Bombyx mori: one gene and its partner. The main gene of each other region encodes a partner of the protein of the gene in region 2 in a complex. Links are inferred from orthologs where the notes say so. Each region holds a gene or a part of one and is shown on either strand. Other genes may lie near its edges.

Evidence for each region.
Region 1: COP9 signalosome complex subunit 7b (region 2) and transcription factor-like protein share a complex: the UniProt entries of both Drosophila melanogaster proteins name them as parts of the CSN complex. The link is inferred for Bombyx mori from reciprocal best matches to the Drosophila melanogaster genes CSN7 and CSN6.

What each region holds. Positions count from the first base shown.
Region 1 is NC_085121.1:11,232,624-11,236,892, reverse strand, and holds the start of transcription factor-like protein, read right to left. Parts: upstream 2,801-4,269; 5' UTR 2,639-2,800; coding exon 2,395-2,638; intron 1,927-2,394; coding exon 1,795-1,926; intron 1,320-1,794; coding exon 1,168-1,319; intron 719-1,167; coding exon 553-718; intron 381-552; coding exon 187-380; intron 1-186. Other genes in the region: phosphatidate cytidylyltransferase, mitochondrial, read left to right, coding at 3,715-4,269. UniProt on the Drosophila melanogaster protein: Component of the COP9 signalosome complex (CSN), a complex involved in various cellular and developmental processes.
Region 2 is NC_085114.1:3,666,711-3,671,539, forward strand, and holds the start of COP9 signalosome complex subunit 7b, read right to left. Parts: upstream 3,045-4,829; 5' UTR 2,653-3,044; coding exon 2,458-2,652; intron 2,322-2,457; coding exon 2,069-2,321; intron 399-2,068; coding exon 178-398; intron 1-177. Other genes in the region: zinc finger protein 615, read left to right, coding at 3,943-4,068, 4,377-4,602. UniProt on the Drosophila melanogaster protein: Component of the COP9 signalosome complex (CSN), a complex involved in various cellular and developmental processes.

The DNA of each region.
Region 1 (4,269 bases), on a different chromosome or scaffold from region 2:
ACCAACGCGACTATACCGGTGTTAAAATACCACAGGAAGGTACAAATTTTTCTAAGGAAACTGCGGTATGAGTAAGAGCTATGCTGTAAGAGTCGTTCGTGCACACATACACTGCACACAAATACTGTATACTACTCTCATTATCTATTAAGTGACAAATCGTCGGTAATATATAATCTTACTCACATTATAGAAATGTGTCCGGAACTGCTGTGAAGTCAACAGAGGTAATCTGTTGGCGAGAGCACGCGCCTCCCTTAGTAAAGCCGGTCGAGGCTGAAGTTTACCATCCCTTATAGCGCGTACTGTCGCAAGTACGGCCCGTACACGAGAAACTAACATTTTTATAGCTGATCTTTGTGCAGTCAGATGTTCGGCAACTAAAGGTAGAAAATGCATTAATTTATTACAATATCTACAGAAAATGTAATTGTTTTCATAATTCGTATTAATTTGCCAAGTGCTGGATTCAACTTATTCTATCAGAGTCTTAACAGTTTCAGAAAGTAGCATGTTTGATTGACTGCTTTTGATTTACAATTGAAAACTTACCTAAACTATTGAGAGCAGCTTCTCCAGATGAAACTCTGGCAACATGATCTACTCCAATTCTCTCAGCCTCTTCAGCGGCTAATGTATATGTTAAAGGTGCTAGTAGCATTGTGGCGCGACCATTAACCACATCAATTACTGATTCATACAAAACTACCGGTAATTGCTGTATAGAAAATATGTTTAAAGTTATTAAGTTTGTAGCTAAATGTTTGCTTAAGATTTATTATATTGTTATAGACTAATATGTTACAGAATTAAGAGCTCCTAAAGTCAAGAAGATTTAATGGAAGGGGATATGTACAATGAGCAAATTATTTAAGAATCACAGTGCCCATGATGACCAATTGACAATAATTTATCAAGCTTTTTAGCTTATTTGATAGCAGTAACATCATCAAACTATTTTTGTAAAAAAATATATCGATCATTGGCACCAAATTTTAATTGTTAAGTAAGACTAGCAGTATAAATAAGATTACACTTTGTTTTGTCTCTTCCATTCGCGTTCTGAACAGACTGTCAATATAAGAAGAGCCATAATGCTTTTCTCTTAAACACACATCTTATAACAAGGTTGTACATATATTTCACACCAAGTCTTTAAAAACTTACATCACCATTTCTGCCTGCCGGATTCAACATCAACATCACAGGACACTCATTAATGTCACAGATCTGTCTGTGAACTGCGATGTCACGTTCTGAGGGAGCATCTCCAGTTGTATACCATCCGAGGAAATCCATGTCAGAAAACACTTGTTTGACTGGAATCATTGAATTAATTTACTGAAGGAAGAAAATAAATTAAATATTGAGAGGTGTGTTTAGTTTATCAAGTGCCCATAATGGGTAAGATAGTTGTTTCCTTGTACCAAGAGATGAAACTCAGCTGTGATTACAATCTTGAGCCACCATGAAACAATTATTTATAGCATAGGTGGGTAATTTCCTGATATACCTCTCTAGGCCTAAGTAATCAAACAGCACCCGGTGGTACCTAAGCTTAGCTACCTATCTATGTTAATAGCAATAATACCTTTTGATAAATAATAAATAGGAGTTCCCTACAACTCAACCCACAAGGTGATCTATCTATTGAAATATCTCAGAAATCATTTCACTTCCATAAAAAATAAAACAATGTTTATAACATAGTTGTTCTACTTTATTTTGAGTAGATTTGTAAAATACTATATTTAATTATTTTATACTTTTTGTTAAATTAATTTCTATACTTACATTGTTCCTCTTTCATATTATAATAATCTCTATCTATAATAATGTCTCCATCAATCATACTGAACACTAATTCAAATGAATTCATTACTTCAATGTTGCGACCTTTTTGCTTCCCAATTAAAGCTCCAACAACTAAAAACCAAATTATTTTATTTAACTTATTATTTTCCTAAGTTATTAAGAATATTACATAAAAATGTTAATTAATAATAAATTTATCAATCAATAATAAGATTATGACTTTTTTCTTTTATCAATCAATAATAAGATTATGACTTTTTTCTAATTTTATTGTTGATTTGCAACAATTATTTCAATCTTCTTCTTCTTAGTCTGACATTCTTGTGAGTGGTCATGGTTAGGCTGACAATGTATATACAAAAGTATTTGTTAGGTTGCCCATGTTCCTGAGGATTGCCTTCCTGGCTATGCGCAGCAGGTAAGTAAATATTATAAAATGTTACAATTTTGTATTACTGCAGTTATAATATATATTGTATTCTTAAAAAAAGAGTGCAAGAGTGCATTTTAGTGACTAACGTGCGAAGAGAAATGATCAAGCATTTTTTCATATTTATAATACTTAGTCCTATAAATTACCTGTTTGAGGAAAGCCTTCCTGTGCCTTAAGTCGTGTCCAATGTTCTGAAACATTCATAATAACTAAAGGATGGAGAGAGACGGTCACCGAACCGGCTGTAGCAGTCGTAACTACTACACTCTTATTGCTGCCTGGTGTTGTAGGCGCCGGGGATGTTGGGTTAGGCACTTCAATCGGCGGACCTGAAGATGCACTCTCTACTTCCACTTCCATTTCGAAATCAATTCGATCAGCACTTGACATTTTAACTCTGGGATAAGAGAACTCAATGAACTGAAACTAGAGGACTATATAATGAGAAATAAATATCTGTATTGTCTCGATTATCGCAATCAATTTGTCGGTATTTGCAATTTAATATTTATGATTTGACAATAATATTTTCCTCTCTACACTTTGGTGATAATTATTTGTCGCGGTACGGTAATTTTTAATGCATTTCATGGCAGCATTGAACTGTCGTGCTATAAACAAAAGATGAGTTTTTCAAAGATTTTTTTTTTATTTTTGGTCATGCACAGTATACTCGTTCTATTCTATGATAAAATATCTATTCTCTGATGTTTGTCACAGTCCAAATTACTACATTTTAATGGAAGGTGTATCTCTGAGAGTCACTTTTTAACGGGAAAACGAGCGAGTTCGTGTTTCTTCTTTCTAAAATGAAATAGATCGCCGGACTGTCTTTTATCCAAAAAACATCTCCAAAACTAACGGTATTGACTTATCTTACTAACATTCCCTATCCTAGGGAATAGTAGCAGCTATTCTCATGCATATTCAGAGTTATTTTATGAACTTTCAACATTCTACTATTAAACTAAAAAAAATGGAAGATTTTGCAACGAACATAAAACTAATATTGAGCGACTAAAGATTTTCCTGGTTTTTCCCCAATCACCTCTCAATCCCTAATCACCCCACTTTACGGTTTTACATCAAGTAGGTAGGTATCATAAGTACTGATCTGTGTACCATAAAGTGTAACCCATAGATTAAGCACTTATGTGTAACCTAATGGACATTGGATAATAATGTGCATGTTTGGGTTCGGGGGCACATATTGGAGGCACTTTATTATCGTAGCAGATGATAGCTAGCACATTGATGGGAAGATATTATTCGAATATACAAAACGAAGACAAAGTTACTTCGAAAGTTTAATTCAACGTCAAAGATAACTATTTAATTGTAAATGTAACACAACAAAATCTAAATTCCCAACTAATTAACCATATTACATCAGTGCAACATCACAATCAAGTTTGAAGAATAGATTTGTGCTCTAAAGGTCAGCTGCTATTTCTTCTAATTTTATAATGGTATCTACCGCCGCTAAAACATTTGGCAGCATAATCAGAGATGTGTCACCGATTTACTATAGAATCCTCTCCAAATTTCCTCAAAACTTCACATTTTGCTTCGCATATGGCTCTGCTGTGAAACCACAAGTCGGAAATCAGAATAAACATAACATGATCGACCTCATATACTGCGTCGATAACTCTTATAGATGGCACGGATCTAACATTGAACAAAATCCATCGCATTATTCAGCACTTCGATTTCTAGGCAAAGGATTTGTTGCAAGATTCCAGGAGAATTGGGGGGCGAAAGTATATTTCAACACCCTTGTTGAATTAAAAGAAGAAAATGTGACAATCAAGTATGGTGTTGTTTCTCAAAAGGACTTAGTTGGTGATCTACTCGACTGGACTGACTTATACCTTGCGGGCCGTCTACACAAACCAGTAGAGATCATTAAACAAACCAACAGTTCTCAATTGCAAAGTGCTTTACAATCCAATCTACGCTCTGCAGTTCACACAGCGCTACTTATTCTACCAGAAACATTTTCTGAATATGACTTCTAT
Region 2 (4,829 bases):
TCATAAAGTTATGTATTTTTTTTTATTTTGAGCTTGATCAATAATAGTATTGTTGATCGAAGATTTTTATAAGAACTATATGATTTTTAGAAGGTCAAACATTGTATTTGATGATGATGTTTTTGTTTTAGGAATTGTTATATAATATACATGCACCTTAGATAATATAACACTCACCTTCTGTTCTATACCCTGCTGATGTCTGATAGCCTTCTGTTTCTGATGATTAGCTCTCTGTATGTGTTGATCTACAGAATTGAGTACTGCTTCACAAGCATTGCACCAGTCGGCCAGGACATCAGCAATGGAAGCTGCATCTTCAAGCCGCGCATCTCTGCCAAGGGCCACGTCCACTTCCACACGTTTACATTCCTGGTCCAACTTGCCGTGAATTATGTCTATGGAAGTATAGTATGTAAATTATTTCCAATTATCGTGCGAGTGGTCTATTGTAACAGTAAAATAGTTCAACATCATGTATGTATATTCAAATCGTCAAGGTATTCTACTCCTAATGAGTTTATACTGTATATCTATATATTGTTATATTGTGCATATTTAAAAAAATATCTTTTAACTAATAAGTACACTGCGGTTAATTTATTTCCTCATGTGATTCTTGTCCACTTCATGGTTATCTGGAATAGAATCCTCTTGACAATAAGACTGCCCATTCTACTTTTGTGTGATGTATGTTTTGTATTTATGTTTATATTGATGTAAAATAAAGAATACACACTATCTGTCTAATGAGGTTTTTATTGAACTTAATTTTATACAAGTAATAATTAAAAGGAATGCATTGTTAATTAGTTGCCATGGTCATAATGAGAAGTGCAAAAATGCTATTTTTAGAAAGTAATTGTTTATTGATGTTTGCTTGCTATATTCACATTCAGATTTATTTGTTTCCCTACAACTACTTACTACCACATGGAATAGATTGATCTCCCCTTCTACGAAGGTAAAAACAAAATAAAATAGTAAAAGAAAAATCAAAATAAATATATGCTTATATGGATAAATAAAAGGATGTTAAACTGTTTTCAGGGCATACAAACTCAAACAGGGAACATAACATTGACTTACTAAGCATAAGTACTTGTAATTATAAGGTAAACCAATAGTTATATTGTAAAACCTCAAATTGTAATTGAATTTTTTATGATAAAACTTTTTTTTTAATTAAGTAATTTTTTTATTGCTTAGATGGGTGGACGAGCTCACAGCCCACCTGGTGTTAAGTGGTTACTGGAGCCCATAGACATCTACAACGTAGACGCCACCCACCTTGAGATACAAGTTCTAAAGTTTCAGTATAGTTAAAACGGCTACCCCACCCTTCAAACCGAAACGCATTACTGCTTCACGGCAGAAATAGGCAGGGCGGTGGTAGATATCCGCGCGCACTCACAAGTGGTCCTACCACCAGTAATTACGCAAATTATAATTTTGCCGGGTTTGATTTTTATTACACTATGTTATTCTTTTACCGTGGAAATCAATCGTGAACATTTGTTGAGTACATATTTCATTAGAAAAATTGGTCCCGCCTGCGAGATTCGAACACCTTTGCATCGCTTCAACATGAATTAACCGGACGTCTTATCCTTTAGGCCACGACGACTTCATACCAACTTTATTCCACTAAGATGCATTAAATTATCTGAAGACATAATAGTAGGGCTCATGGCTCATGTCATTGTAGCATCAGTTTCCTATTTGTATTGGTAGCTAAATTCATTTAAGATTTAATGATTTTTTTTTATATGGACACTTTAGAAGTTATGCTTATTTAGTGTATATGTATTCTTTATCAATGCACATTTTATATATGTGGCTTTAATCTATATAAAACATGAACTAAATAAATTAGATACTACATCAAATTCGGCACTGAATTGTTTTCTCATATACACCACAAGAATAACTCGAAAAAGAAAAAAACAAGGTATAAAATGCATGTAGTCAAACTTGAATTTTAATACTGTTTTATGAATCAACAACTCTGACACTTTTTTTATTAGGGACTGTTTGTATATACACTATAGTAGGAAAATCAACTCACCTGCATAAATAGCTTCAATGATAAGATCTTCTAAATCTCTAACATTTTTAATATCCAATTCCTCAAGTAACACACTGTAAGGGATACATTTCTCTTGTGTTGCAAGTGTTGCAATGGTCAGATGCTGTAATTTCTTGCACTGGACTGTGGTTAATTCTAAATAGTCCGATTTGTTCTCAATGTAGTCCTTATATGTGCCATAGGCAAACAAATTAAGAGTTTTTAAATGAGTTGCATAAGGTCCACTCTCCAGCTGAAAAATACAATAAAATGAATTTTAACAAGAGCGCCAAATTGATTTCTACCCATAGAATTCGGACAGTTTCATACATTTAATGGTTAAAAATGTATTAGAATTAATTGATCGATATAAAGGTAAGTTTTCTAACCTCTTTAATATTTGGCATCTCTAATAGCTCGCCGAAAACATGCACTCCTGGAGCCTCCAGAACCTGTTTGATGAGTTCAGCGCACGCAGAACCTTTAGCTCCCTTTGCTAAAAGGACAAACTGTTCTAGAGGGTGATTGGAGGAAAATGATAACAATGAGGAAGGTTCATCTCGGTCCATTGACATCGGATTCATTTTGAATTTTAAGACGTCTATGTCTATTTCATAAACGGGAAATAGGTCAATTCTATATTGAATCTATATGTTAGGGAAAAAGTATCAAACTCAGATTTAAGGTTTAAACTGTTATATTTATGTACCTACCTAGGTAGGTAGGTATTTTATACTTTCTTTGGTAATTTTAAGTTGACAGTGACAGTTGATGACAGGCTGTTTCTACATTTATATTGCTAGCTGTTGATACTTTAATATTATTATTATTATACATAACGAACGGATGTATTTATTTGTAGGTTTAGTTTACTTCAAATTTGAAATCTATCATAAAATATGTATTCAATTTCCATAAAGAACATGATGGTGGCAGATTATACTTAAATCTATGAAAAGTCAGGTACTTGAGTTCTTGAAGAGCTTGTCTTAATTAGTAATATTGCAAAGAAGTCAGACTATGAGTGCATAAATTTATTACCTATGTATCAAGTAACTAAGATAAATTAAAAAATACCCCAAGAATATTGACATTTCATGTAAAGAATGTGGTGTAATTAAATCACGTAATTTTTGTTAGTTCTAAAGCGTTTAGGATGAAAAATTCAGCCAATTTAAATAGAAATTAATTCAAAAGTAGAACAGTATGCAGAGAAGTACATTTATTCATAATACCAAAAATCTTTTAGTGAAACTACAGCTTTGATTGATTAGTTATAGGGCTTAAAAAATAAACTAATTTCAAGAATTTTATAAAGTTTGTCTTTGACAAAAAAAAAACTAGAAATTTAAAAGTTTATGCTTCAGTTTTCAAATGACCATAAATAATAAAATGGCGTCAGGTTTTTTGTGTGTGCGATAAATTAATTGTTTTCATAAAAATCTGGATTTTCTCCAATTTTTTTTGACATACGAAAGTGTTTTTTATTTTATATGTAATTATGAAGCTTATAAATGCATATATGACTTCTAATAACGTACTATTTATTGTAAATAATGTGCGTGTCAATGTTCGTTGAAGCGTCGTTGTTCTGGGCCGCCTTTTATATTGGGTTGATTAAACTAATTTAGATGTCGTCTAAAGTTAAGATTCATCGTTATTTACACAGAACACCATCACAAGTTGTAAATTAGTGTTGTTTTCGCTTGATATTCGGCGTCGCTGTCAATGAGTGCGTTTTGCGTGTGTGGTTGTGAGGTCGTACATACATGTTCGCAATGATAAAACTGTCATGAGGACTGTTTACTATCAAATAGTGAATCTGTGTTAGTGCGTTTACATTTCTATGTAGTGAAGTTTATATTGTGGTGAAAATGTGTATGCCAACACCGAACAATGTTTCGGGTTTCGGTTATTCTTGGGGCTTTACGAGTTCCGCGGACCTTACCAAGGGCGATGTCGAAACTCCGAGCAGCCTCAGTTATTCGCTTGGGAGTACGGTAAGGTCTAAATAAAATAAATTAAATAACTGAAGCACTTTAGAGTAAACATTTATTGTGCACTTTAATTTCAAAGTGCATCCTCTCAAAGTTTTAACCATAAGCAAGATTGAATGAAATTAACAACAATCAGCTTTCACTTGAAGTAAATTTTCTAGTTATTTTAATATTTAGCAACAAAAAAAAGCTATTATGAAATTGTGTACTTATATGTGCTATTTTGTTTCAAAATAGGTTTCATTTCAGTAAAGACTTAAAATCATTTTATAAATAAAAACAAATAATCAACAATAAATAAAACATTTCAGGTGTCTCCAGAGACAACACTCACTGTTATGTCTCACAAGACACCGCAAGTCCAAGATAAAGTGGGTGCTGTTGCTGTGGCAGTATCCAACTCGGGGGCTCAAGTCACAAGGGTTGTCACAGCAGGAGCTCCGGTGACGGCCAGGAGAGCTATGTTTGTTCTGAATGAAGCTCCAACCCATACTATAAACAGGGTTTCACAACAAAACCAAACAGCGACAATACATAGTGGGTATTATTAACTGTTTTAAGGCTTACAATCGCTTACTAGTCAGCTTTTTGCTTATTTAGCATTAATTGCTTAAATTCAAATTAAATTTTAATTTTAAGCTTAAATTAGATAAATAAAGTTCTCTGTAAGTATTTAATACAAAATCTACTGACAGTTCTTATTTATCTATTCATACTGCACTCAGTTAAATTGACTCCTAATAACAAAATACTGATTTTATTAA